Linked DNA regions of Oryzias latipes. The protein of the gene in region 1 interacts with the protein of each later gene in a pairwise test. Links are inferred from orthologs where the notes say so. Each region holds a gene or a part of one and is shown in the gene's direction. Other genes may lie near its edges.

What was found.
Region 2: the proteins of syntenin-1 (region 1) and ubiquitin-conjugating enzyme E2 R1 interact in binary tests that used the Homo sapiens proteins (3 or more experiments, as listed by UniProt). The two-hybrid records come from large-scale screens. The link is inferred for Oryzias latipes from reciprocal best matches to the Homo sapiens genes SDCBP and CDC34.
Region 3: the proteins of syntenin-1 (region 1) and hsbp1 interact in binary tests that used the Homo sapiens proteins (3 or more experiments, as listed by UniProt). The two-hybrid records come from large-scale screens. The link is inferred for Oryzias latipes from reciprocal best matches to the Homo sapiens genes SDCBP and HSBP1.
Region 4: the proteins of syntenin-1 (region 1) and kctd1 interact in binary tests that used the Homo sapiens proteins (3 or more experiments, as listed by UniProt). The two-hybrid records come from large-scale screens. The link is inferred for Oryzias latipes from reciprocal best matches to the Homo sapiens genes SDCBP and KCTD1.
Region 5: the proteins of syntenin-1 (region 1) and receptor expression-enhancing protein 6 interact in binary tests that used the Homo sapiens proteins (3 or more experiments, as listed by UniProt). The two-hybrid records come from large-scale screens. The link is inferred for Oryzias latipes from reciprocal best matches to the Homo sapiens genes SDCBP and REEP6.
Region 6: the proteins of syntenin-1 (region 1) and khdrbs2 interact in binary tests that used the Homo sapiens proteins (3 or more experiments, as listed by UniProt). The two-hybrid records come from large-scale screens. The link is inferred for Oryzias latipes from reciprocal best matches to the Homo sapiens genes SDCBP and KHDRBS2.
Region 7: the proteins of syntenin-1 (region 1) and probable global transcription activator SNF2L2 interact in binary tests that used the Homo sapiens proteins (3 or more experiments, as listed by UniProt). The two-hybrid records come from large-scale screens. The link is inferred for Oryzias latipes from reciprocal best matches to the Homo sapiens genes SDCBP and SMARCA2.

Annotation. Positions count from the first base shown.
Region 1 is NC_019865.2:5,713,278-5,716,777, reverse strand, and holds part of syntenin-1, read left to right. Parts: intron 1-1,886; 5' UTR 1,887-1,887; coding exon 1,888-1,938; intron 1,939-2,313; coding exon 2,314-2,410; intron 2,411-3,500. UniProt on the Homo sapiens protein: Multifunctional adapter protein involved in diverse array of functions including trafficking of transmembrane proteins, neuro and immunomodulation, exosome biogenesis, and tumorigenesis.
Region 2 is NC_019875.2:22,337,205-22,339,532, forward strand, and holds the end of ubiquitin-conjugating enzyme E2 R1, read left to right. Parts: intron 1-78; coding exon 79-289; 3' UTR 290-1,828; downstream 1,829-2,328. UniProt on the Homo sapiens protein: E2 ubiquitin-conjugating enzyme that accepts ubiquitin from an E1 ubiquitin-activating protein, and catalyzes its covalent attachment to other proteins by an E3 ubiquitin-protein ligase complex. In vitro catalyzes 'Lys-48'-linked polyubiquitination.
Region 3 is NC_019864.2:28,979,185-28,983,342, reverse strand, and holds hsbp1 (heat shock factor-binding protein 1), read left to right. Parts: upstream 1-1,358; 5' UTR 1,359-1,475; coding exon 1,476-1,520; intron 1,521-2,195; coding exon 2,196-2,262; intron 2,263-2,398; coding exon 2,399-2,523; 3' UTR 2,524-2,525; intron 2,526-2,608; 3' UTR 2,609-3,477; coding exon of another isoform or gene 3,478-3,580; 3' UTR 3,581-4,034; downstream 4,035-4,158. Other genes in the region: DNA topoisomerase I, mitochondrial, read right to left, coding at 3,478-3,580. UniProt on the Homo sapiens protein: Negative regulator of the heat shock response. Negatively affects HSF1 DNA-binding activity. May have a role in the suppression of the activation of the stress response during the aging process.
Region 4 is NC_019875.2:25,797,271-25,800,324, reverse strand, and holds part of kctd1 (BTB/POZ domain-containing protein KCTD1), read left to right. Parts: intron 1-169; coding exon 170-314; intron 315-1,617; coding exon 1,618-1,923; intron 1,924-3,054. UniProt on the Homo sapiens protein: May repress the transcriptional activity of AP-2 family members, including TFAP2A, TFAP2B and TFAP2C to various extent.
Region 5 is NC_019862.2:22,294,565-22,298,590, forward strand, and holds the start of receptor expression-enhancing protein 6, read left to right. Parts: upstream 1-1,226; 5' UTR 1,227-1,310; coding exon 1,311-1,443; intron 1,444-4,002; exon of another isoform or gene 4,003-4,026. UniProt on the Homo sapiens protein: Required for correct function and survival of retinal photoreceptors. Required for retinal development.
Region 6 is NC_019873.2:24,545,854-24,549,880, reverse strand, and holds the start of khdrbs2 (KH domain-containing, RNA-binding, signal transduction-associated protein 2), read left to right. Parts: upstream 1-1,227; 5' UTR 1,228-1,498; coding exon 1,499-1,589; intron 1,590-4,027. UniProt on the Homo sapiens protein: RNA-binding protein that plays a role in the regulation of alternative splicing and influences mRNA splice site selection and exon inclusion. Binds both poly(A) and poly(U) homopolymers. Phosphorylation by PTK6 inhibits its RNA-binding ability.
Region 7 is NC_019867.2:1,033,582-1,037,081, reverse strand, and holds part of probable global transcription activator SNF2L2, read left to right. Parts: intron 1-106; coding exon 107-173; intron 174-247; coding exon 248-358; intron 359-2,427; coding exon 2,428-2,670; intron 2,671-3,500. UniProt on the Homo sapiens protein: ATPase involved in transcriptional activation and repression of select genes by chromatin remodeling (alteration of DNA-nucleosome topology).

The DNA of each region.
Region 1 (3,500 bases):
AATTAATTTCTGAGTATTTCTTTATTCAAATGACTGTGAATCAGGAGCTGGACGATAAAACGCCATTTGAGAAAAGGCTTAATTGTGATGTAGGAAATTTGATCTAATGGAATCTAAATGATTTTAGGTAATTCCTACTTTGTAAGTTTAGTTTTTTCTATCAAACATAAAAAAAAGTGAAAAGAAGAACTGGCAAGGGTGAGATCAGCTGTTTCTTTGCAGGCTTAGGATTTGCGTCCGAGTCTTTTCAACACAAAGGCTCTTTGTGGAATGTGAGTTGTTTAGTGTATAAAAGTAATGGTATCAATTAAACATGCATAGTCAAATTCCACTCTCAGACATACTTTGCTCATTAGCTGCCTGCCATCATACTACAGATGGTTTCTGAGCTGCTGCGTTGTTTTGAAACCTCAGTCAGCTGACTCATTTCCTGATTCCACATTTTGGGGGGTGGAAATGTTTAAAAAAAAAACTGTTTCAAATTTGGTATTTCTGTGTTTTCGTAATCTCAAAGCCTGTTTGCGTCCTGTTGTCATTTGACCTTAACACATTCCCATGTTATGAGAATAAGTGCAGATTAAACCCATTTATTCATGGAGTGTGGACGATGAAAACATGAGCTGTAGACGTGGATGTGATCGTTTTTAAAGCTTCCTTCTGATGGCAGCTGATCAGTCCGGATCTTAAAGTTTGTGGTGCTAAGCTCCAAAAAGACTCCTTTGTTTAGGACATATATGTCTTCATGTGGTATTTATAAATCCAAATAAATATCTCTGCTTCGAGGAAACTGTTTCAAACTCTTCAGCTCTGCGACCCACAAAGGTGCAGTGAGTTTTCCAACTCTACACCCACAGCTGCTTCACTCCCTATTTTTAAAAAAAAATGGTCTGGAGTGACCTCTTCCGCAGCTTCCTGTGCCTAAAAAAACAGAACGGGACATTTTTCTCTGAGCTGAACTAGAAGTGTGTCTAGTAGTGTGCGATTGACCCAGTGTTTGCTTGTTTTGCATCTCACATGCAAGTTGCTTTGAAATAAAGTCTTTTGTTAAATGAATACATGTAAAAATAAACCATACAGAAAGTTAACAAACAACAAAGCCGTTGTATAAATCCATTTTAGCATGACTCTGCATATGAGGCCTTCTCGGATGTGATGCAAAACCTTGAAAATATCGTTAGTTTTCCTCCACTGAAGATGTTTATGTGATGGATTCTGCCGCTGTGGTCAAAGCACTTTGGTACCAGAGCATCAGTTCAGTGACCCAAAGGAATTGTGAACACAGGCGTGAATTTGAGGTCAGCTGGAAGTAATTCTACTGTTTTTATGTTTACGTTACACTTTTCATGTAAACATAAAGTGCTTCACACTGTGCATATGACAATAAACCCTTGGAAATAACCCAAGTACAATAAAATATAAAACACACACAATATAAAAAGAATAAAAATCTATAGAATTAAAACACATCCATCTATTTGTCCAATCAATCAATCAATCAATCAATCAATCAATCAAATCACAACAGAATGAGGAAGCGTTTAAAAAAAGAAATAGAGATGAAAGTATAAATATTGCTAGAAAACAAAAAAACTAAGAATATAGATTACATTTCCTTTTAAATATTCAATGAAAATAGAAAAATGGTAATCCAAATTTTAACTATATATTCCTTTTTCTGAACCCACTGAATCCCTCATAGTCATAAAAATTAGACCATGCATGTAAAAAACAAAAAAGGTTAAATTTAATAAAAACTAAATGCAGGAAATAGAACTGAACATTAATACACGAAATGAAAAATGTTTCAACCTAAGTTAAAAAAATCAAACAAAAAGGCTTTTCATGATCCTGACCTTCACTCCCAGATGTTTGTGTTTTCTCCTCAGCATGTCTCTGTATCCATCCCTCGAGGACCTCAAGGTCGACAAGGTCATCAAGGTAAGAGGAACTTTGTGTCAGTGACGTGACTTTAACTTTGGGTTATAGGAAGTTTTTATAGTTTATGTGATGCAGACAAAATTTTGAATCAACTCTAAAACTCTTATAATGCATTGATTTTCAACAATGATCCCAAACACAATAAGGAAAGTGACCACTGTCGTGGTTTTTCATGAGGTCTAAATTCTGTTTTCACACTGTGGTAACCTGGTTGATGGGCCTCGGATGTGGTCAGATTAACCAACATTTTTTCAGTCGGCGATGGAATATATGTCTCTAAGCGCAAACGGTTCAGTAACGCAGAAAGTCCTGACCATATATGTTTATCTGAAATTGCATTTAAACAGAGCTGACTGAAGTGTTTGCTGTTTTCAGGCTCAGGTCCAGTTCGCTCAGACTGCTGCCCCCATGCCTGCCATCACTGAGGGAAGCTCCCAGCCTGAGCTTGCTGCTGTTGCCATGCCAGCATCCGGTGAGTGGGACCGGTTCGAACTCCAGAACCACTTTCCAGATTGACCCTTTCCCTTCTGTTGAGCTGCAGTGTAAACTGGTAATGTATGGACAAAGTTTTGCAGAGGATGAAGTCTGTTAAAGGAGCTGATTGGTGTTGAAGATCGGAGCTAAAGTTGTTTAGAAAAACAAGAGGCTTCACTTCCAGAGTAGAGTTGTCTTACATGTGGAGTGATGTCTGCAGGAAGCCTCTTAATGATTCTATAAAATGGAAAATACGAACAGACAACCTCCAGGCTTTGCAAAGGACAACATTTTGATTATCTTCCCTCTTATTGTTCCTTTCATTTACTTTCTCTTCCCTATTTGGATGCAAAGTCCTGAGTGCTTTTGGTTCTTTGTGTTTCCTCACCATGGTGACTGGCTCAGGCAGTAATGCAGTGGGGATATGGTGTTGGGGGGGTTGGCATAAGGAAGGGACTAGGTTTTAAACGTGACCTGAAAGGGAAAAGAGGATGTTAACATAAATATGGACGGGATTGGAGATTTGGTTTAAATCTAAAGCTTAAGGGACAAATGTTTGGAAACCTCTTGTTTGTTTATCTACAGCAGTGTTTTTCAACCAGTGTGCCGTGGGAAATTGCCCTCAATAACTGATCTAAAAACATTTTCCGTCTCCAGGATATCAGCTCTTTGTTCATCCAAACAGGTCCTGATAAAACAATGAGTAGTTAGGAATATGAAAGATTGTAAAACACTTTTTTCTTTGTGTTTATTTGATTCTATTAAAGACATTTTGATAAGAATCTAGCCGTAGTTTCAGACGTTTTCGGAAAATTCCCACCCCTTTAACTGTCTCCACCAATCATTCTTGGAGGCCTAAAGTCTTCACTTCCTTGTTCTGATTCAGCTCATAAAATCGCTCAGTTCTAACAAAAATATCAGCTAAAGCTCGTCTTTAGCGGTGTATCTTTCCGCAGGATCCGGTATCAGACCGTGGAACAAGTGAACAAAACAATGAAGCTCAGAGACGCTAGTCTGTCTGCATTCGGCAGCTGTTTGCACTAGATCTCCCATGATGCATTGGGTTAAAGTGACAGCGTCTCAGCGCA
Region 2 (2,328 bases), on another chromosome or scaffold:
GTCCTTCACTGTGTTTCCTAGCTTTCTGTGCGTTTGCCGCGTCCTCACAAATGAAAAATAATCTGTTGTCTCTTCCAGGAAACAGGTGATGGCCACCAAAGCTGAAGCTGAGCGCGATGGTGTGAAAGTTCCCACCACGCTGGCGGAGTACTGCGTCCGCACACGTGCGCCAGCCCCCGACGAGGGCTCGGACCTCTTCTACGACGATTACTATGATGACGACACCATGGAGGGCGGGGATGGCGACTGCTGCTACGACGAGGACGATTCAGGAAACGAGGAGTTGTGACATGCTTTTTGACTGAACGCCCAGTCCGGCTATGCTCCTCCTTTTTCCCTTCCGGGGTAGCGAGATGTTCTAGGTTTAACACCAAGGAAGACTGGAATCTTCCCTTCTCTAAACGGATAAGAGCTTTTTTTCTCGTGCCTCTGTTTTTTTCCCCGTCTCAGAGGTTAAAACAAAAGACTCTGTAAAAATGTGGGACCTGGTAAGATTTGCACCAGCACATACGTTAGCAGTTTCTTCAGTTTGGCCACCTCAGACTTTACCATGAAGGATAGTTAAATGCTCACCAAATCTTTTTCACTCACTGTAGGCTTTAATGGGGTGGAAACTCTCTTAAACATTAGTCAGCCTCTTTTGCATATTTGTTTTTCCTAAATTGTAAGTGAATTTTGATCTCCGTGATGGAAAACGAAGGACTTCAGGCTTGTACTAGGAAAAGCACTGCAGAGATCCAGTATTTTTCACCTTTTACAGCATCCCATTACATGCACCAAGACACAATAAACTTGCCACGTGACAGTATTTTCTAAGTTTCTGTGCATGCCAGAACATCTTTGCAAGCTTTTAGTCTCTTGTAACGGCGGACAGTTTTCCCACCGCATCATGATTTGTCCTAGCAAAAAAACCGCTGCGGCGTTGAAGTGACTCTGTGGCGAAGAAGCAGATGGGCACGTCAGCGGGGTCCATACCACGTGGACATTTTTGATCTTGTGGTTTTTTTCTGGTTTAGTGTTGAATGTGTTTCTCTGTCACTCTGGGTGTGTCTTTTTTTTTTTTTTTTTAAACAACCTCGAATTAAGGGGAGATTGAAAAGTGTTTGAGTTGGTGGGGGATTTGAAATGTTTTTGAGCTCTCGAAGTGTGGGGCCGTTTTTGAAAAAGCAACAATTGTTTTGTTAACTAATCATACTTGGAGTAAAGGTTTGAATCGTAGTCAAAATACTTGATTGCTATTTTAAAGACATCCAGTTGTAAACACAGTATCACTCCGAAACACCTGATGGACCCAAAGAGCTAAAGCAGCATTATAAAGACTCCAAAACCTATGAAAAATGATGTAGTTCTGTTGGTTTGGTTGAAATTCATTATAATTTATTTTTCTTTTAAATTCCTTCATAGTTTACCTGAATGGTGTCACCTGTGAGATTATTAGGTAAAATCATGCACGTAGTCTGATTCTAGATTCTTGACGTTTTTCTGCGCCGCAAATGAAAATGTTAAGAAATAATGATCCTCTTTATTTTAATTTTCTTCTCTGTTTTGTTGGGTGATTCTGGACGGGTGTTGGTGTTTTTCTGAGAGTATGGATGGTGTTTTTTGATTTAGTTTTTTTCCAATCTGCAGTATTGATAACTTTAATGTCTGAAGTAAGTTTAGTAAATAAATTAAATTTCTCAGGATAAAAATTCATTTGAAACAACTGTTGAGGCAAGCAATTAATTTCCAATATGCAGATGTAGCTGTATGAATGATTAAAGTGTTTTATTCACATGTCTCTTTTTTCCCCCCCAGCTATTTAAAATAAAGATTTATTTCAAAGAAACATTCATTGAAGTGCTTGGAATGACTGCACATAACGGAAATCCAATTTTTTGTTGTGCTTTGTTATTTTAAGGAAGTCATTTAAAGTGTTCCAGCTGAAGACAACAGCATTTAGTTTGCTCATGCTATTTAACTTTTGATAATACCTTAAAATTCAATTATAAAGAGTAACTTGAACATGTGTGTTCAAGAGGTTGGAGGGAAATAGGAATTTTGAACTACCAAACATGTCAGTCTTTATCTTTTATTTATTACTTTTTTATTATTTATGTAGATGTAAGAATGCAAAACTCAAACTTATTCATATTCTAAAATAAACTATTTTAAGTCTGTGTCTGTATGGTGTGAATCGTATCAATGATGTTCCCTATGGTTTCTGAATGCATCACATGCCGGCGCACATTGATGTCGTCATCCAAACGCCGCAGTTCAAACCTAAAACTCGGGTTTGGGACTGTTTTTCAAACAGAAAATAACAACAAAGACAACAGTTACCAGAGT
Region 3 (4,158 bases), on another chromosome or scaffold:
GGCTCTCTAAGGGAGGGGTCTGCCAGTCTGCAGATAAGTTTAAACTGCAGACAGCATCTCGTCTTACTAACAGTTTCACTGCAGCTGCTGTGGACACCGATAGTTGAGTTACACAGATGACCTGCCTGCTTTCAAAACACCCTTAAAGCTTTAGCTCCATACAGCGTACCCAGGGACTTTCTCCCTTGTGTTGTGCCTACAAAAGCATGAGGTGCGCATGCCAAGAAAATACAGGGAGGTTACAAAGGAGGTGGGAACATTTTTTTAAAGTATAACTTGACAAAGATTTCATTCAGAAAATCGTGCCAAACTCAGCTAAGACGTCACCACTGCTGTAACTTAAGCAGCGCTTAATTTTGAAAAGACAAGAACAGCAGCAAGACATTAAACACCAAACCTCAGCATTATGGCAGGAGTTTGAAGAGCAAAAGTCACGTCTAAGTTACATATAAAGCTCAGTAATTGTTTGCTTCTGATAAAAAAAGTTACAGGTTATAATCAGTTAGACTAGGCACAAGCCTGGAGGAAGTTAAAACCCGTTCTAAGGGAACCTTTGCACAATTTATTCAGTACTGTGAGGCTTCTGCTATTTCCTTTTGTTTATGTGTTGAAAGTAAACACTAACAATGGAAGCTGAAATGTACCGAAGCTTCTTAAAAGAGGAAACTCAATGTTATGTAAGCGGAGCATATTTTCACGGGGTAGGGCCAGCAGTGCCTGCTTCTTCATGTCACTCAGGACTTCCACACACATCCATGCCGGAGCTGCTGCTCCTTTGGGACAAACTCAATACAGCTGCAGTCTCGTTAAAAAAAATAAAACTTCAAGAATGATGCATAAAAACCACGTGGTAAGCCTGAGTTTAAAGCAACCGTGAAGTTTCAGCCTATTGCACGCGTGCGTAAATCTGAACTTTACGCAAACAGCCGCATTTCTGATGCACAACAGCACCGTCAGTTTTCTGCTTTACTCACCGATCGCCTTCAGTCCAACAGAACTTTGCCGTCTCCCGCAGTGAATTCGGCGTGAAAACCCGCCGAGTTATCCCGCAGCTCCAACTTTCAAATCCCAACTCGCTGAGGAGGAGGAGAGACGTGTGCGCGCATCCCCACACACACACGGCTGCGCATAAACACACACAGGTCTAGAATTTCCGCTTCAATCTTACAGCTTCATGTTTTTCTTTTCATCTAAACATAAGAACGTCAACTGATTTTTCAAATGTGTTATTATTTTATAAATATACATACAACCTAATGTTTGTCGTCAATCCACAGCATTATTTGTATCGAAGGGTTCTGCAAATTCACCGATCTCAGCCCATGAGCAAATCTCGCGAGACTTGCCGTGTTGTGGCACAGCTGACTCTCCCGTGGGTGGTACAGGCGAGCAGAACCTTGAGGCTAAATAATCGAATATAAAGCGCCTTAAATTTAACCGCCGTGAAGGTCCGGACATACAGTTTTATTCACACCATGGCTGAAACAGATCCCAAATCAGTGCAGGACCTTACTAACGTGGTGAGTTTGGACCGTCAAGCTAGCTAGGACTAGCTATATGGATGTAGCTAGCAATGCTAACTATACTGCTAACAAATCAAATGCAGGTTGCATCTAAAGGAGTATTAAGTTTGATTCCTTTTTGCCTTTTCCCCCTTTGTTTTACCACTTGACACCTAAATTCTGATCGATCTCACTAAATATTTATTAGTTTATCACCATATAAAAGACATTGTTAGCTGATTAGCACTTCATCCTGACTAATTTAATTTACATAAATCTTCTTTAATCAGCATTTTCAATAACAAGTATATGAATTTACATTTTTATTGTAATAATAATAATCAGCAGTTCTCGCAACACCCAGGTTACTTCTGTTGGTGTGGATACCAATAGTGTTGCCATGGAAATGAACCAAAACTAAAGGTCTAAGTTGCACCTCTACCTACTAAATCACAGACTGTATTCGATTCTTCTGAAACATTAGGTGTTGATTAGTGTGTTGACTGGAAGATGAAGGTCTTAGCTCCTTTTTAGTGGTTTTTCTCTCACATGCAGCTATGTCCAGAGTGGGGTATGTGAGGAGGGGACTGAGAGGGCGGGAAGCGCTTTTGGGCCGCTCACAGCTTGATCTTGTACTGTTTCTTGTTGGGTTTGACAGATTAAAGTTTGTGGCCTTCTTTTGTTTTTCTAAAGGTCCAGACGCTCCTGCAGCAAATGCAAGACAAGTTCCAGACAATGTCAGACCAGATCATCGGGAGGAATATCCTTTTTTGAAAGCCAGAGCTCTGATGGTCGTCTTTACATTTCTCATACTCTACATCAAATGTCCCGGTGTCTTTTTCTACAGGACTCCAGTTTGCTTAGAAAAAAAAAAGATTTGCCTTAACAGTGTCCACTTGATGAGATGAGCACACGAATCGATGACCTGGAGAAAAACATTGCTGACCTGATGACCCAGGCTGGTGTGGAGGAGGCCGAGGCGACACCAGAGAAGCCGAAGGAGAGCCAAGGATCATCATGAAGGTGAAGAAAAACGGTCTACCCCTGTAGAATTTCTTTGTTCTGGTAGATTTCCTAATCAGCTTTATTTTCTGTCTGTCCCACAGGGTCAGAAATGATGTGAAGTCAAAGTTCTTTACCGATGACTTCTGATTTGGTGTGAAATGCTTTTTTTAAATATATATATATATAAAATGGTTTAACGGTTTACAGTTATGTCATGATGTGAGAAGTGGAGTAGTAGTAATCTGAATTAGTGTGACCTGCCCTTCAGAATTGTGTATTTGGTGCCCTGACCTGGACGTTCGAGCCGCCAGCGTCGGTTCTTCTCTCCGGTCCGTGCTTGGTAACGGGCCAGCAGAACCTCATCCCAACACGATGAACCGCGAACACCCGGAGCTCGCAGCGCAGCACTGTTGGCAACGAGATGCAGAATGCATTCCATTTCTGATTTTCTATTAAAGCGATGTACGGAGCAGTTTCTCCTTTTTGACCAGGTGCTGATAAATAGACCACGGTGCTAAGAGTTTCTACATTTTCTCTTATGAGGCAGAGTCGTCTGATGCCACAGACCTTTCATAACTACTGAATTCATCCGATCTGCAGGTTCAATGCTCTTTGTTGTTCATGAATTTGTTGGATTCTGACGTGAAATGAGCAGAATTGGAAATGTGCCACTTAACGAGTGTATAACTAAGATTTTGCCAAATTGAATGATTAAAACATCCCTTATTTTACCGCATGGTAGGAACCTTTATTCAAGTGTATGCAAACAAAATGTAACAGACCGTCTTCAAACCAAAAGTAGCAGTAAACATCCATTAAAGTGCAGCTTGATTATTGAACTGCAGTAGTAGAACCTCAGCACTTCATAAACATCCCCTCAATACAATATTCATTTACTCTACATGGGATAAAGCAAAAGGTCCCTGAGCTGCCACTTGGTGTGAGTTTATACGTCTGTGGAAGTTCAGTTTCAGAACTCGAAGTCGTCCTCCGTCATGTCGATGGCCCAGGCGAACTTTTCCCGTTGGGTTTTGTTGTAGATTTTTTCTATAGGCACCTCCATGTTCTTACACCTGATTAAAAACAAGAACAGAAAAGCGTTCAACCACAAACAACTGAGTATTACAACTGCAGAAGAAAAGTCTTAAACATACAATGGGGTGAAGAGAAACCTTGAGTTTATCGTCCTGAACGTTTTTCAAGCCAAACTTCACCAAATCGTTGCAGAAGAAGCATTTCTCATCTCTGGTTTAGCACCAAACCCCACTTTCCTTTGGTACAAGCAGCATTTCTATGAATTCTGAAGTCTTGGAACAATTGGCTGATCTCTATAGAAATCAGGTCGGTCACATGGTGAAACGTCAGATCAGTAAACTGGAGGATCTGTTGTCTGAATGAGATCAAGTGACCACAGATCCTAAGAGCCCAGAATCAAAGTTAACGGATGGAATCTGGACATTTCAACACTGCAGCCTAAACCAGAAACTTAACAAAATGTGTTCTTTACAATAAAAATCTATTAAAACATTTCTGTTTTTGGGTGTGTGTACGAGCTGGATTCGCAGTAAAATAAGGGTTTGAGTGACGGGGCTGTTCTGCCCACTCAGACGTTTCTGAGGATCGCTGACGACCATCAGACCGAGCTGGAGGT
Region 4 (3,054 bases), on another chromosome or scaffold:
TGTTTTCAATTACAATGTCAGACTTTGATGTAAAACAATAAAAAAAGCATAGATCCATCATAAACTTCTGCCATTTGCAGAGTAGATAAAACTTAACATTTAAGGATTATTTATCCTCCAATACCTCTCCCCCCATGCTTGACCTGCCACCCCTGCTCTCTCTGTCTAGAATCGGGCGTCTCTTTGATGGCACAGAACCAATAGTCCTGGACAGCCTGAAGCAGCACTACTTCATTGACAGGGATGGACACATGTTCCGTTACATCCTCAACTTCCTCAGGACGTCCAAGCTCCTCATTCCAGAGGACTTCAAAGTGAGTAGGAGAATCCCCAGAAACTGTGAAGTCTCCTCAGCAGTCAGCAGTCCTGTAACTCGTCTCTCACAATGAATGCTGAGGCCGTGGAATGCCTTTGGTCACTAGATGTCCTCAAGTTACCCAAAGCAGTTACCATGTCTGTGCACTATAAACTAATAACACGATACCAGGGTGTGCAATTACGGTTCCTACCTGCCATTGTTTCCCAGATGCTAAATTTAGATATATGACATTACTAAAAACATATATTTTTGATGCATCTATGCACAGTTTTTGGCCCCCATGTCTGTCCACGATGGTTTTTTACTGCATTAGCCATTCTCTATTATATTTTGTATGTGTCATTGAGTCAGTAATGACTTACCCTTGGAGAAAACAAACATCTGCATTATCTGATGGACTGTCCAGCACAACTCAATCAGTGGAAAGTATGCCAGTTAAAATAAGCGCAGGCTCAACTTGAAGCCATTTTTCACTTTGGTAGGTTTTGAGAGAAGTATAAGAAAATGGTAAAGTTGCTGGTCTGCAAATAAAAAAAAATGCTTTCAACTTAAATAAATCTCCTTTTCAATTTCACTTTTTTAGGTTTTACTAAATAGTGTTTTAATTCAAGCCTTTTTGTTTTAGGTTGGATAGTTTGACTTTTTAGCAGGGCGATATGAGGAAAACTTGCAATGTGCAATATTAATGATCAACGTTGTGATGACAATGTGACTTGGGATAGAAGAGCAAATAGCCAACCAAAAAACAACAAATACATAGTTTCCATTACAGCGCAACAGTTTTATTAAAACAAAAGTCAGCATCACTTAAATTATGCACCAAATGACCCTTGTCTACATAGGAGGTGGGTAACTAACATAAAAAGGCTTCTTTCGATTGATCCAATGTGTTAAGGGCTCTATGTGATTCGTTAAATACTTAAAGCTGCCAAGAGACTGTTTTAACATGTAAACATTTGACGTAACTATTTATTGCAATCATTAACGATAAGTGTGTGATTTATTGTGCAGGCCTACTTTTTAGTCCCAGTTGTATATTTTTTGAGGGGGCAACAGAAAGGTTAACATTTGACTTTTTAAATGTCACCTTTATATTCCAGTCACTTTGTCCACTGGTCTATGACAATTGATTACCCTGTCTTTCAGTTACCGGTAAATAAACTGGAGGAAGAAAAACTTTTTTCTAGAAAAAGGATGAATTAATAGTTACTAACACATTTGATATATTATACATCACTGAACATTTATTTCAAAGTGTTATTTGCGTTGTAAAACCATTTCTGAACCGTTTTCTCCAGGACTACAGCCTGTTGTACGAAGAGGCTCGATACTTCCAGCTGCAGCCCATGCTGGCTGAGCTGGAGCGCTGGCGTCAGGATCAGGAGCTGGGCCGGGTGTCCCGTCCTTGCGAGTGCTTGGTGGTGCGTGTTGCACCCGACCTGGGCGAGAGGATCACACTTAGCGGGGACAAGGCCCTCATTGAAGATGTTTTTCCAGAGATCGGAGATGTCATGTGTAACTCAGTGAATGCAGGCTGGAACCATGACTCCACACACGTCATCCGCTTCCCTCTGAATGGTTATTGCCATCTCAACTCAGTCCAGGTAATGGATGCACACGGCAGCTTTAATCTGAAAGTGTCCAGTTATGAACACAAGTATACAGTGTGTATTTTTACTCTCTTTTTATATGTTAAATGTATCCACAAAGTCGTTTGACAGGGTTGGTAATCTGTTCATCTTGCGTCTTTCATCTGCTGTTTTGTGATGGTCTTCAGAGATCTTGCGTCTGATTCCAGTCTTTTTATTTATTTATTTATTTTTTTTTTAAATGAACAAAAATCATCAGAAAAGCCCTGCAGGAGTAGAAGCTCTTTGATAAGTTCATCAAAGCAACACTTTAGCAAGGCATCAACGCACAAGTCGACCACACTTTTTACTTCTTCCCTGTGATCTGACTGCAATAGTAATTCAGACTCTGACATCAGAGTTGATGGATGGTCAGCCTCAGACGTTGGATTCTTTTTTTTTTTTTCATCCATGCGCGTAAACATTGTTTTATTCTCTTTTGTGGGCATTTATGATTGCAAAAATGTGTGCTAACATTTTTAGTTGTGGGTTTATGTTGCCCTGAATCCATTTTGGAAGATGACATGAATGTTAACTAAGGGGAAATTACCAGGTGGGTTATGAAAAAAGAAAAATTGTCCCATTTGCAAAATCACTTACATGCCTTTGAAACTATGTAATTGATTGTGCTTTTTCTCTCCTGTGTTGAGGATCCTGCAGATGACTCCTGCATTTATTGTCTGTCAGTCTTCTAAGTCTGAAGCGAAAACAGAGGTTCTCAGAGTCCTGAAAGATCAGAATTTTTAACAACTAGTTTAGCAGCCTATATATTGCAGTAGATCTTGTAAAGTTACGTTCACACTGCCTTCAGCAACTCATGTTCAAGCAACCACTTCCAATGAAAATTGGATGTAACACTTTGTGCATTTCGGGGTTCTGCATTCAAAGCTCTTGCATTCACTGAACGCAGGTTGGGTGATCTTTCACCAACCAGAGACTAGTATTTGGTAGTGACGTATGAATGGTGTCCCTATTAATTCATTAAATTGATCACGGAGGAGAAATTAATAATTGCGGTCTGTGCCCGGGTGAAATTATGACACCAAGTCTTTTATATGTCGGAATAGAGCTGTGAAAGAAAAAGCCTGGAGAAAGATTTGCGAGATT
Region 5 (4,026 bases), on another chromosome or scaffold:
TATCATCTTTAGAACACAGGGAATTCATGAATGGTCGTCGCAAAATGCTCATATTGATGAGATTTTTACTTTGTGAAATCCATGATGTTATATTTGCTGTAAAACAAAAAAAAGCAGTGAGCATGGTGTACGAATTACTCTTAAAATCCAGGGCACTACATAGTCCCGCACTATATAGTTTTTAGTAGTTAGGTATTAGAGAGGGAATTGAGACATAGCCAGTGTTTCTTATCATTTATTATTGGTGATATCAAAGTGAACTTTTCAATAAAATCAGGCCAAATAGGAAAAATACTCATGCAAATAAAAATATTCCTAACTTATTGTGAGTCTTGTAAGTAATCAGAGATGAGTGCTTTTTGCAGTAGAAGAGGGGTATATGGGTGCAGACCAAGAGGTGCGTGTTCCTTGGAACTGGAACACACTGTTGAACTTTCTCTGTGTTGTGGGCCTAAGGGCCGTGTCACACAGCTACTATGTACATTTTACACATTTTCCATGTATTCAATTTCTGTCTTTCGTGATGAATGCGCGAAATACGTAATTCGCTAGTGTTTCCTGTCATGTGTCGCTGTGCGCAGATGTTCGTCGAGGATGTTGGGCGATTGGCCTTTACCTGAATTTGGTTTTATGCTGATCAGAATTTTTGGTTAGATGAAAATTAAGCAGGTTTTGTGTATTTTACGAGGCTTGTACACAATTCAAGCGTAAATCTTACGCAATTGTGCATAGTTTTTGTCTATGGACTTTTTACGTACGTACCACTGAAGTATAACTTTTATATTGCGTATAGAGCACACATATGACGTTCAAATTAAGTAAATTAATGCATGGATTTTGGGCCATATTTGCCTTTTTCGTTGATTTACATGTTCTTTGCATGATTTATTTGTACTTTTGTGGTTTCAAAGTGGTTCAATTCTGATTCTCACTCTTTCCACGTGTATTCACGTATGACCAATTTTCATCTGTACAATGTGCGCAAAATGTACGTAATGGCTGTGTGACACGGCCTTAACTCAAAGAAATTCTTAAACACCCCAGTGACCTGCTTCCAATTCACAACCGTTGTGCGGATCATGACTCTTTGTTAAGATAAACCGATATACATATATATGTTGGAAATGACTTTTGGGTTTCATGACGGTCACAGCCATATCATTATCCACCTGCTCCTGTGCTCCTCCCCCTCCTCCTCCTCATCAAAGCAGATTGCTGCTGTCAGGGGATTAACGGCGGTTATAACTTCCTCTTCCCTGCAGGCTGCCTTTCCCTGACCCATTTTGCGCTTTAGCAGCTCTTCGAGCACCATGGGCTTGCTGGACATTTTTTCTTCCATCAAAGAACGGGCCGAAAAGTTTCTCAATGAGAAGAACATGGTGACCGATTTTCTGGGAAAGGTAGAGGAAAAGACGGGGATCAAGAAGAAGTTCATTGCCGCGGGTACGTAACGTGACCCCTTGTTTTTACTCTGTTCAGTTCAAAACGAACTCCCCAACAGATATTTCTACGTTGATTCTTCTTGAATTTAGAAGACTTGCATTGGCTAGCTGCAAGCTGATGGAAAACGGATGGGGATTCAGTTAATCCTCATGTGAAAAAAAGCTACCAGGATGCAAAACCAACTGTTCATATTGATCAGGACCTCCTAAGTTGCATCTGTATTCCATTGACAAATGGTTTCAAATTGTGTTTTTGGACTGTTTGTCATGGTGCGGGGTGGCTCGAGAGCCGGTAGGACCCAGTAGCAGAGGCGGAGGCACGAGGATCAGAGTCTAATGGATTTAATAAACAAAAACCAAACACAAAGCGCTGCAGAGCAGGATTTCTGAACAAACAAAGCTTACTTGACGTGGCGAGGAACATGAAACGTGGAATGTGGCAAGAGACAGCATGACATGAAACACCATGACAAGACTAATGAACCAGTACAGGAGGAAGGCAAAGACATGACTTAAGTACAGACAGGGCAGACAAGACACAGGTGAACACGATCAGGGCAGATGGGGACCAAAGGAAGTAAAACTCAAGAAAACAGACAAGACAGGAGAACTTTCAAAATAAAACAGGAAACAGAAACAAACCAGACAGAACAAGAACAAGGACGAAAAACAAGACAACAAACTCAAATCATGACACTGTTGTCCCAACAGTTAACGCAACATTCCATTGGCAAAATATGCTAGGCCTCTTTAATGTTTTTGTTTTGGTTTGATCCTATGGGCTTAGGTAAGCAAAAAACATAAATAGACAGCAAACTGCTAATAGATTTAGTTGACTAGGATACAACAGTATCACAATGCGCTTTGTCCCCTCGGGCATGTACTATTTTGATAAAAATCCCACTGAATGTTTTTTCCGCCTCTTGTAAACAATATGTAAGTAACCAATGGCAGCTTTATTAATAAAGTTTTGAGCACATACATTTTTAAACATGTGAGACAGAGCATCTCCAGTACTATTCCAGAAGGGTTGTCGATGACATGGGTGACCCTGATCCATGTATTGAGGTATGCTGCCATGCAGGAGACTGTTCCAAATGCAATGGTAATTTTTTGTTCACCTTCATTAGGTATTGATCACAACTGCCCTCAAAGGTGGGCAGGTGAAAACTGGGCACACAAATGGTTCAGTATGGAGTTAGTATGTGCACCTTACCGATGACTAGGGCACTGAACGCCAGCATTACCTGTTCGTCATAAGTGTGTATACTGTAACTCAGATGTGATACACTTACCACATGCACAAAAATGGTACGTTCCATTTTCACACTGTCCCTTGAAGTGGCCATACAACCCTCAGAGGAGGTGAAAAATCTGCACTCCCCTGCTCCTATCTGCAACTCTCCACGGGCCCGGACAACCTAAAAACCTCCATCACCTTTACGGTTCAACCCCCTGTATGCGTGGGTACAGGGTTTTCTCTGTCTGCTCTCTTTCTTACCCACAATTCTTTATGTCATTATTGCAGTTGTAGCTATAAGGTTTGTTGCAGGCAGAATAAATTTCCTTTCATCCCAATTTGAAGATGTGCATATTTTTTCTTTAACAAAAAGCATAGATGGACGCAACCAATCTTGACTGATCTTGAACATTTGGAAGGGTTCCCAGTCCTTGAATGGGAGACTGCGTTGGACTCCCTGGTTCTAAAACTTGGGGAACCACATGGGACGGGGGCACTCTCCAGTGTTTCCATGTGCCAATCAGAAGTCTGGGTAATGCAGAGGAGGTCAAAAGGCTTCACCTTTCATTGGCTGGGTAGGCTCCATCTTTCCTGTGATCAGGATAACATTCAAAAGGGGCCCAAGTCCAAGAGGTTTGTTTTTCCAGGAAATGATTTTAATCGCATAGCTTAAAGGGAGGCTACACCAAATGATTAATACTTTACCCAGATTTGGCACCAGTTCATAGCTTACAAATGCTATAATATGAAGCACCTCACTTTTATAACTTCAGAGGAAATTAAGACTAAAGTCTCTGGACTTGGGCCCTTCTTGAATTAAACAGGGGCTCTGCCATATTGGATAACTAGTGCTGCCATCTATGGGATGAAGCAAAACCCATGCAAGAGAGGCCCAAGTCAAGGAATTTTGCACTAAACGCATTTTAAATGTCAAAGCATTGTCAATACATTACAACGGACTTGGAACTTTTTTGCACATAATCAGATAGCTTTTCCTTTGAAGTCTATAGAACATGTAATATCTGTATTTTGAAAAATTGTGGACTTGGGTCCCTTTCGAACTAACCGATTCAATTATCTTCAACCAATCATCCATCAATTTTCTAAACCCCTTTTTAAGGATTGGAAGCTTGGTTTTAAGTTCTTGCCTTTGTTATTTCTTGATATTTTATCAACAAAAGAAATAGACTTTAATTAAACATAAGTTGTGTCCTAAGATTCCACTGAGTCAGATCTCAACACATCTCGTGAGCGAGTAACAGCAGTGTATTGAGGGTGCAGTGGGTCAGTGACACAGTGAGCAGGACATGATGTCAGTGTGGTGCCTGGCGCTCACCGTCTCCC
Region 6 (4,027 bases), on another chromosome or scaffold:
AAGAAAGCTTTGATTTTTACACCTGACTGAGAGATTATGTTGCCAAAAAAAGAATAAACAAATAAACTTTGCTATCAGGACCCAAACCTTAGGTCTCAATTCAAGGCTCAAGTCTCTTCATGAAACACAAATGCGACTCAAGTCCTCTCGTATTTTTTAAACATGTCACAGTGTTTGCTTGATTTTTGCTTAGTTTTTTGAGATGATGTATAATAGTAAGAAGAAGCTGAAAATTGCCTTATCCAAAATGCAGCATCATAACAGACAATTGATTCTTTGATAACTTTGTCTGTTTTTTCCCCCCTTTATTTTAGTACTCTTGCCTCACAGCAAGAAGGGTCAAGTCCCGGCTGGGGGACCTGAAACAGAATCACAAATGGAGGACCATTCTGTGAGAAGTTTGCAAGCTATCCCCATGCATGCCTGGGTTTTCTCCAGGGACTCCGGCTTCCTCCCACTGTCAAAAAACATGCTTCATAGGTCTAAATTGTCCTTAAGTGTGAATGCAAGTGTGCATGGGTGTGTGAATGTGCGTCAGACTGGCGACCTGTCGAGGGTGAACCCTGCCTTCGCCCAATAGTGGCCAGGATAGGCTCGAGCAGCCCTTGATACTGAAATGGATAAAACTGGATTAGAAGACAGATGAAAAGATGGATGTTTATTTATTTATTTGAAGTGAAAATCTGCAGTGAAACAAAATGTCAACAAGGAAGAACAATAGAAGATAAATCAATTAAATAAAGAAACTCTTCCTATCTCCGAGAACTTTGAACTCTGGAAGGCAAAACCTAATGAGAAAAAACGAGCTTCTGTGAGTCTCAAATCAGATCAGCACCATGGACAGCGACACAAACAGAGCCGCGGCTCTGCGGATCACCCTGATGTGGATTATTGACACCAGCGGACAGTCTGGCTTGTCTGGACACAGCCGAGTGTTGTAAGAGGTTAGTTGTTGCGTGACATTAATTAAACTGCAAGTTTTCACTTTAATCTTAAATAATCGAATTGACAAGTTCATTTTGGATGCACTCACTCTGTATTTGTTACTTGGTTCATTTATTTCAGATTAAAACCACATTTTCCTCTTGGACGTGCTGAACTCTCAGGCTGGTGGTGCTAATAAGACGAACTTGTGTGTTGCATTACCCTCAGTAGGGAACTCCTCAGCTTTTCATCAGCACTGATTCTTCAACGTGGCCAATCGTGTGAAAGGGGCGGGGACGCGCGCAGCGATGCCCGGGAGTCTGGCGGGTTGCCGACAAGAGGCAGCTGCAGCCGGGATGGGCTCACACCTCTGAGTCACTGCTCAGCCTCTGGTCAGGTATTTTGGACGTTTTGAGGTGTGTGGTTTTTTTCTGGGCGTTTCCCCTCTGTTGTTATTCAATAAAAGCAACTGCAGCCACTGTTAGGCAAGAGGGGAAGAAGGTACAGCTGCACTCCGACGTTCAGCACTCCAGTGATCACACACCTGCTCCGCTGCTGAAGAGCTGTGATCAGAATGCATCCAGATAAGTGTTTACCTGAACTGGTGGCAGAGAAAAACAGCCTGGATCCCTCTTTTGTGCACGCGGTGCGTTTACTGGCAGAAGGTAAGTCAGGTTTTTCTTTCTTTCTTTTTGTCTACAATCTGCTGCATACGCTGCAGATTGCTGGGCACCAGTCCCCGTTCTGTTAGTCTCAAAGCATCTTCAATTCAGTCCAGTACAGAGAGGTTTGTGGAGATTTTGACACATATTTCTTTGTCCTTTTGTGCTTCTTGGAGTAATTGCCCTCAACTGCACTTTTTTAGCTTCAGTCCAGAACTCGACAGATTTTCTGAGCAAAGAAAGTTGAGGTTAAAAGGAGAAAAATGCATGACTGAAGTTGAGAAAAAAAGCCAGCATGTTCAGTGAAAGAGCTTCTAGGTGCTGCAGGCAAAAGTGCAACACTTTAGCAGAGTGACGGGATGGATCAAGCTCTCAGTGAAAACATAGTGGCTGCTTTTCTTGTAAGAATCGTTTGCAAATATTTTTTAGATGCACGTTTACAATAGAAAGAAATAAAACGTTCAAATATACAAGATAAATCATGTTCAATCACAATATACAAGCCTTTTTTATATGTTTGAATTGCTGTTTCTTATGTTGTTTTTTTTTATTTATTCGTATAGAATTTTGTTGTTGTATTGATTCGTTGCAGTCCATGTCTCTTTTTTAGACTATTTTTTCATGGTTTTGGTGTAAAGACAACTGTTTTTCTTATAAACCTTTCTTTAAAAGTTCATAAAATAATACGCCAACACACACAATTACTGCAGGGTATCTCTTTAATTGTTAATTTTGGATGTATGTGAACTAACAAAAGTGCACCAGAAAGAACTGCAGATTATTCAACTGAATATCTGCTGTCTGTATTTTTTAGAAAAATGTACAGCAGAATACAATAATGTTCCGCCAAAGATCCTCATTGTGCATGTGTTCATTTATATTCAAAGAATATAATACTTCAAGAGGAAGCACACTAGCCCAAAGCACGCACAGATACTAATTTGAAAGTTAGTAACTTTGGCATTTCTGGAATGGACATGAAGCTTCCAATAATCAAAGTCCACACAAAGCGTTGGGATAAAGAAATGTGACACAAATATAATTACATTTTGCTAGAAAAAAAACATTGCAGAAACTAAATACACTTTTTTCCTGTACTTTACCATATATTTTGTTGAATTGATCATGTGATTTTACTAGGCAGATTAGTTTAGTTTACATTTCTTAATCAAGAAAAGCAGACAAGTTTTACCATTTTGTTTATGTATTTATGGAAGAACTGTGCTGTGTTCATATTCTAACGGTTCTGAGGGTTGCTGTGCTCTGATTTTCCAGCCCCTTAAGCACTACTGTTGAAATGTGTTGATGAAACACCTCACAGTATGGCCTTTGCCACTTGCTGGGGTGTAGATCATCTGTTACACAGAATACTTTTTCAGTCAGTGTTGACTCACACAGCCAAAATTCCAATAAAATATGTGCAAACTAAAATGCCCCCTTTTTTCTTCTTTGAGTTTTTCATTAGCACACTTGAATGTCACTTAGCCCTAATTAACATCACATTCCAGTGTGGATATTCAATAGTTGCTGAGAAAATTTGCAGCATTTCCCTGATAAAGTTAGAGAATCTCGTTTCAAGATCACCTCTGAAACTTCAACTTTTCACATCATCCACAACAGATACCAATCAGAGCAGTCAATCATGTTTCCCACATCAGCACAGAGCATATAGAAAGAAACAGGCAGCACAAGAAAGCTCTTTCTGTGATCCACTGTCACAGAGCTCTCCCATCCATCTTTGCAGCGTAAAAATGCAGCATCATGCTTATTGGTGGACAACAAGATAAAATGCATTCACTTGTTATAGATTCAGGGGCGATTTATCATTGAGCAGAATACAATGCCATCCTTCATTATTCACATTATACACAATAAACCACAAAATATGGATTTACAACAGTCTTGGTTAACGTCTCCCAATTTATTTAGTGTTACTGCAGTAAACTATCCTGATGTGAAAACCTTTTGTTTAAATTAAATGTCCAGAATGACATTTTCATTTTTATCTTTCTTTTTCTGCAAATCTCAAGGTTCCTGCATCATTTTGATCTATCAGGAAGAAGTCAAACATTGGGAATTTTCCAAAACCTTTTTCAAGATAACATTGTCTGTAAGTTCCTTTCGGTTTGTTGGTGCTAATCCCCCCCTATTCCCACCAACACTATTTCCTTCAGGGAAACAAACTCAGTTACTGTCAGTATGGTGTGAGCCTAATGGCTGCAGAGACCGACAGAACAGGCAGCTGTTGGGTGTGCTTTTAGTTTCCTTTGAATAAAGAACACAGTGGGTCTTTTTAATAGTGGGTGGAAGACAGAAACAAGAAAGGCAAGCTCTTAATAGATCCCAGAGGTTTTCTTGGTAAGACTCGACAACGTGCTAGGTATAAAAGCCAAAGGGATTCCTAATGAGAAGACAGGGAGGCAGAAAGAAAGGATGTGATG
Region 7 (3,500 bases), on another chromosome or scaffold:
ATTCTTAAACTTTCCTTTTCACATTTCAGAAACTGCTTTTAATCCCGGGTGACCCCCCCCCCCCCCCTCCCCACTGTCTAATGATTTGTGTTGGTTCTGGTTCCAGGACTTTGTCAAACTGGGTCTATGAACTCGACAAATGGGCTCCTTCTGTCGTCAAAATTGCTTACAAGGTAAAAAAAAGATTTTTGCAGCCGAGGCTCTGACGCCGTGCTTTTCACTGACTCCAGCCCCCTCCTCATTCCAGGGAACTCCCGCTCTGCGCCGGGGGCTCGTTCCTCAGCTTCGCAGCGGGAAGTTTAACGTCCTGCTGACCACCTATGAATACATCATTAAGGACAAGCACATCCTGGCCAAGGTGAAGGAGATCAAAGTTATATTCTGTACACCAACAGCTTTGGGATGTTTCAGTTTTCTGAAAGTTTCAGGAAGTCCAGCGGCTTTTAAATCCACCGCTTTGATTTGAGATGTTTGAATAAATATCAGTCAACAGGTTTTACAGTTTACTGACCCAAAATGGAAGCATATCATTCTTCACATGAGTGAAGCCTTGATGTCACTCATCTGAAGAATGTCACGCAGCCATCATGCACGTTTGGCGCATATTGCTCCGATGTAAATTGGTCACAGGTGAATAGACGTGGAAAAAAAGGGGGGAAAGGTTTCAGTGTAATTTTCACAGAAGTGTCACGAATGAATCAGGTTAAAAACACGGAAGATGTACAAATACACCACGCAAAGAACACGTAAGCGTAAAAATACGTCCGTCAATGACGTCATCTAGACGTGATGTGTGCGCCGTATACGCGATGTAAAAGTTAGACATCGGTGGTTCATGCGTGAAAAGTCTGTTAGACACACGTGGAAAGAAACACATGCATCTCGCAAAAGTCACACAGATTTACATAGTAATTGTATGTAGTATGTTTTTTAGTAAGTACGTTTTATTTATATGGCGCCTTTCCCAGGTAAAATCACAAAGCGCTGAACAATAAAACAATACCATACAGTACAGTAAAAACACATTAACAATCAATTAAATGTAAAACTAAATGAAAGAAAATAAACTTTGAATAGAATTAACAAAAAAACAGTCAGCTAAAAGCATTTTTAAATAAATGTCTTCAGTAGACTTTTAAAAGAATCGACAGAGTCGTATAAACTATGTTTCCAAAAATTCTGGATACCTCAAAACCGAATTGGCATAAAGACCCGTCGTTCAAAACCCTCCATGTACATCTGCACATCCAGGAATGACAGCGGCAGAAACACTTGAGTTGGGTTTATCACGCAGGGATCACGACGTGCTGGCCGTCAGACACGGCCTTGACGTGAAAATCACAAGCAGCTTTTCTCTCAGAAGAGCTTGGATTGGCCCTCAGACGGGACGGAGCTGTTGGCTGCTGGGGGGCTCTCACAAAGATCCACATCAGAGATGTGCTGCTAGAGGGAAAACACAGTTCTAATGTAATCTGATGTCATGTGGAGAGACATGAGCAGCAGGGGGAACCGCTCTGGAGCTGCAGCACAAACATGTTTGATCCACAGCCAGAACTTGAGAAAATGCAGTGGATAAAAGGTGTTTAAGGGGGGGGGGGGTCATAATTTAAAATGAAGGGTTAACCATAAACAGGGAGGGGTTACATTTGATTTGATTTGAAGTGGTTTATTTCAAGCAATCAAAGCAACAATAATGCATAAAATTCAGGTGTCCATTCATACAAAGACGTATTAAACGTAGGATAATTAGACGTTCAATCAAATGTTGCTTAAAGAGAGAGGAAGGAAGTGAACTTCTAGAATCCAACCCTGTTCCACTGTAACCATTTGATTACATTAACTATCATTATCCGGTTCATGACGTCTATCAGACATCTATGCCTTACCAAAGAATACATTAAGAATCCTTAAGTATCAAGAAATCACATGACAAAGATGAATGACTTAAAATAGACATAACTCTATTTTAGAAATCAACATAGAAGCAAATGCAGATCAGTTATCTAAAATATATGCAACTTATGTTCATTAGAAAAATTCTGACTATGATTAAAAATAACACTATTTCAGAAAAAATGGACATAATACTGTTTCAGAAATCTTCATAGTGTTTGCAGATCAAGTATCAAAAGTTAAAAAGATGTGCAGATTATTTTTCATTAGAAAAAAATCATTTTTTGGGGGGAAGTGAAGTATTTATCACTTTAATCACTTTAACCATCCTCAGTAATAGTTTAAGCCATTTATTATTATAATTATATGGTAATGCTGTGAACACAAAAAGATGTTTTTTCTGGTTCCATTTACCGCTAAAACTAAAGTCTGCACTGACGTCTGAAGGATAAATGTGTCAAAACGGTCAAAAACCAAACACGGACGTGAAACATTCCTTCCTTTAGATGAAACGACCGTTTTTTCCCTTTGCAGATCCGTTGGAAGTACATGATCGTGGATGAAGGTCACCGCATGAAGAACCATCACTGTAAGCTGACTCAGGTGCTGAACACCCACTACGTGGCCCCCCGCCGCCTCCTCCTCACCGGCACGCCGCTGCAGAACAAGCTGCCCGAGCTGTGGGCTCTGCTCAACTTCCTGCTGCCCACCATCTTCAAGAGCTGCAGCACCTTCGAGCAGTGGTTCAACGCTCCGTTCGCCATGACGGGAGAGAGGGTGAAAACACCGTCTTCATCCGTTTCCTTGACCAGTTTTTGTACTGTCAGCGCTCCCCTTTCCTGGTGGTGTGACTCTCAAACGTCTGTTAAAAACACTTACACCACGGTCCGGCTGAATACGCCATTCTGATTGGCTGCTGGGTGTGCATGAAAGACCACAGTGATGACCGCAAGTAGCAAGTATCACTATCCCCTCATGCACTATGGAGACACACTAGTCTCACTGCACATTTGTGTGTGTACCACATGCAATACCATCGATGTGTACCAGTGTGTACTTGCTCTTGTGTATTCACATGTACAGTCGAATAGGAAATACAATTTACACACACACAAGGTGAAATGACGCCAACTTCAAACTTTCAAACGGCTTTTCCACAATCTAAGTTCAAACAGCAGATCAGAAAACTCTGATGACCCAGCATTCTAGCAGCATTTGAACACATCATCTAGGCACACATCTGAAGGCCTCCAGCACTGGTGGCTCCCTGCTTTTGTCGGCGTGTCTGATGCGATGGGTGCGTAGATTTGTACGCCTAGGAGCCGTTTTTTGAATTCCCGGTTAGTTTGAAGGGGCTGTTCTTTTCTAGTTGCGCGTAAATTGTATTTCGTATTTGTACATTGTTGATATTTGAGTGTGTCAATAATCAATTGCACAAATATGCACAACATGTACTATATGAGCTGCAAATCCAGAGTTACGCACACACAAACATCAAGTGTGTCTATTTTCTCTCTATTGTGTTCAGGTCCTGATAAACTGCAGAACATAAGACTAAAGATTTGAAAATGGAAACTCGGTCCAACATTTGAACATTTTATCGATTT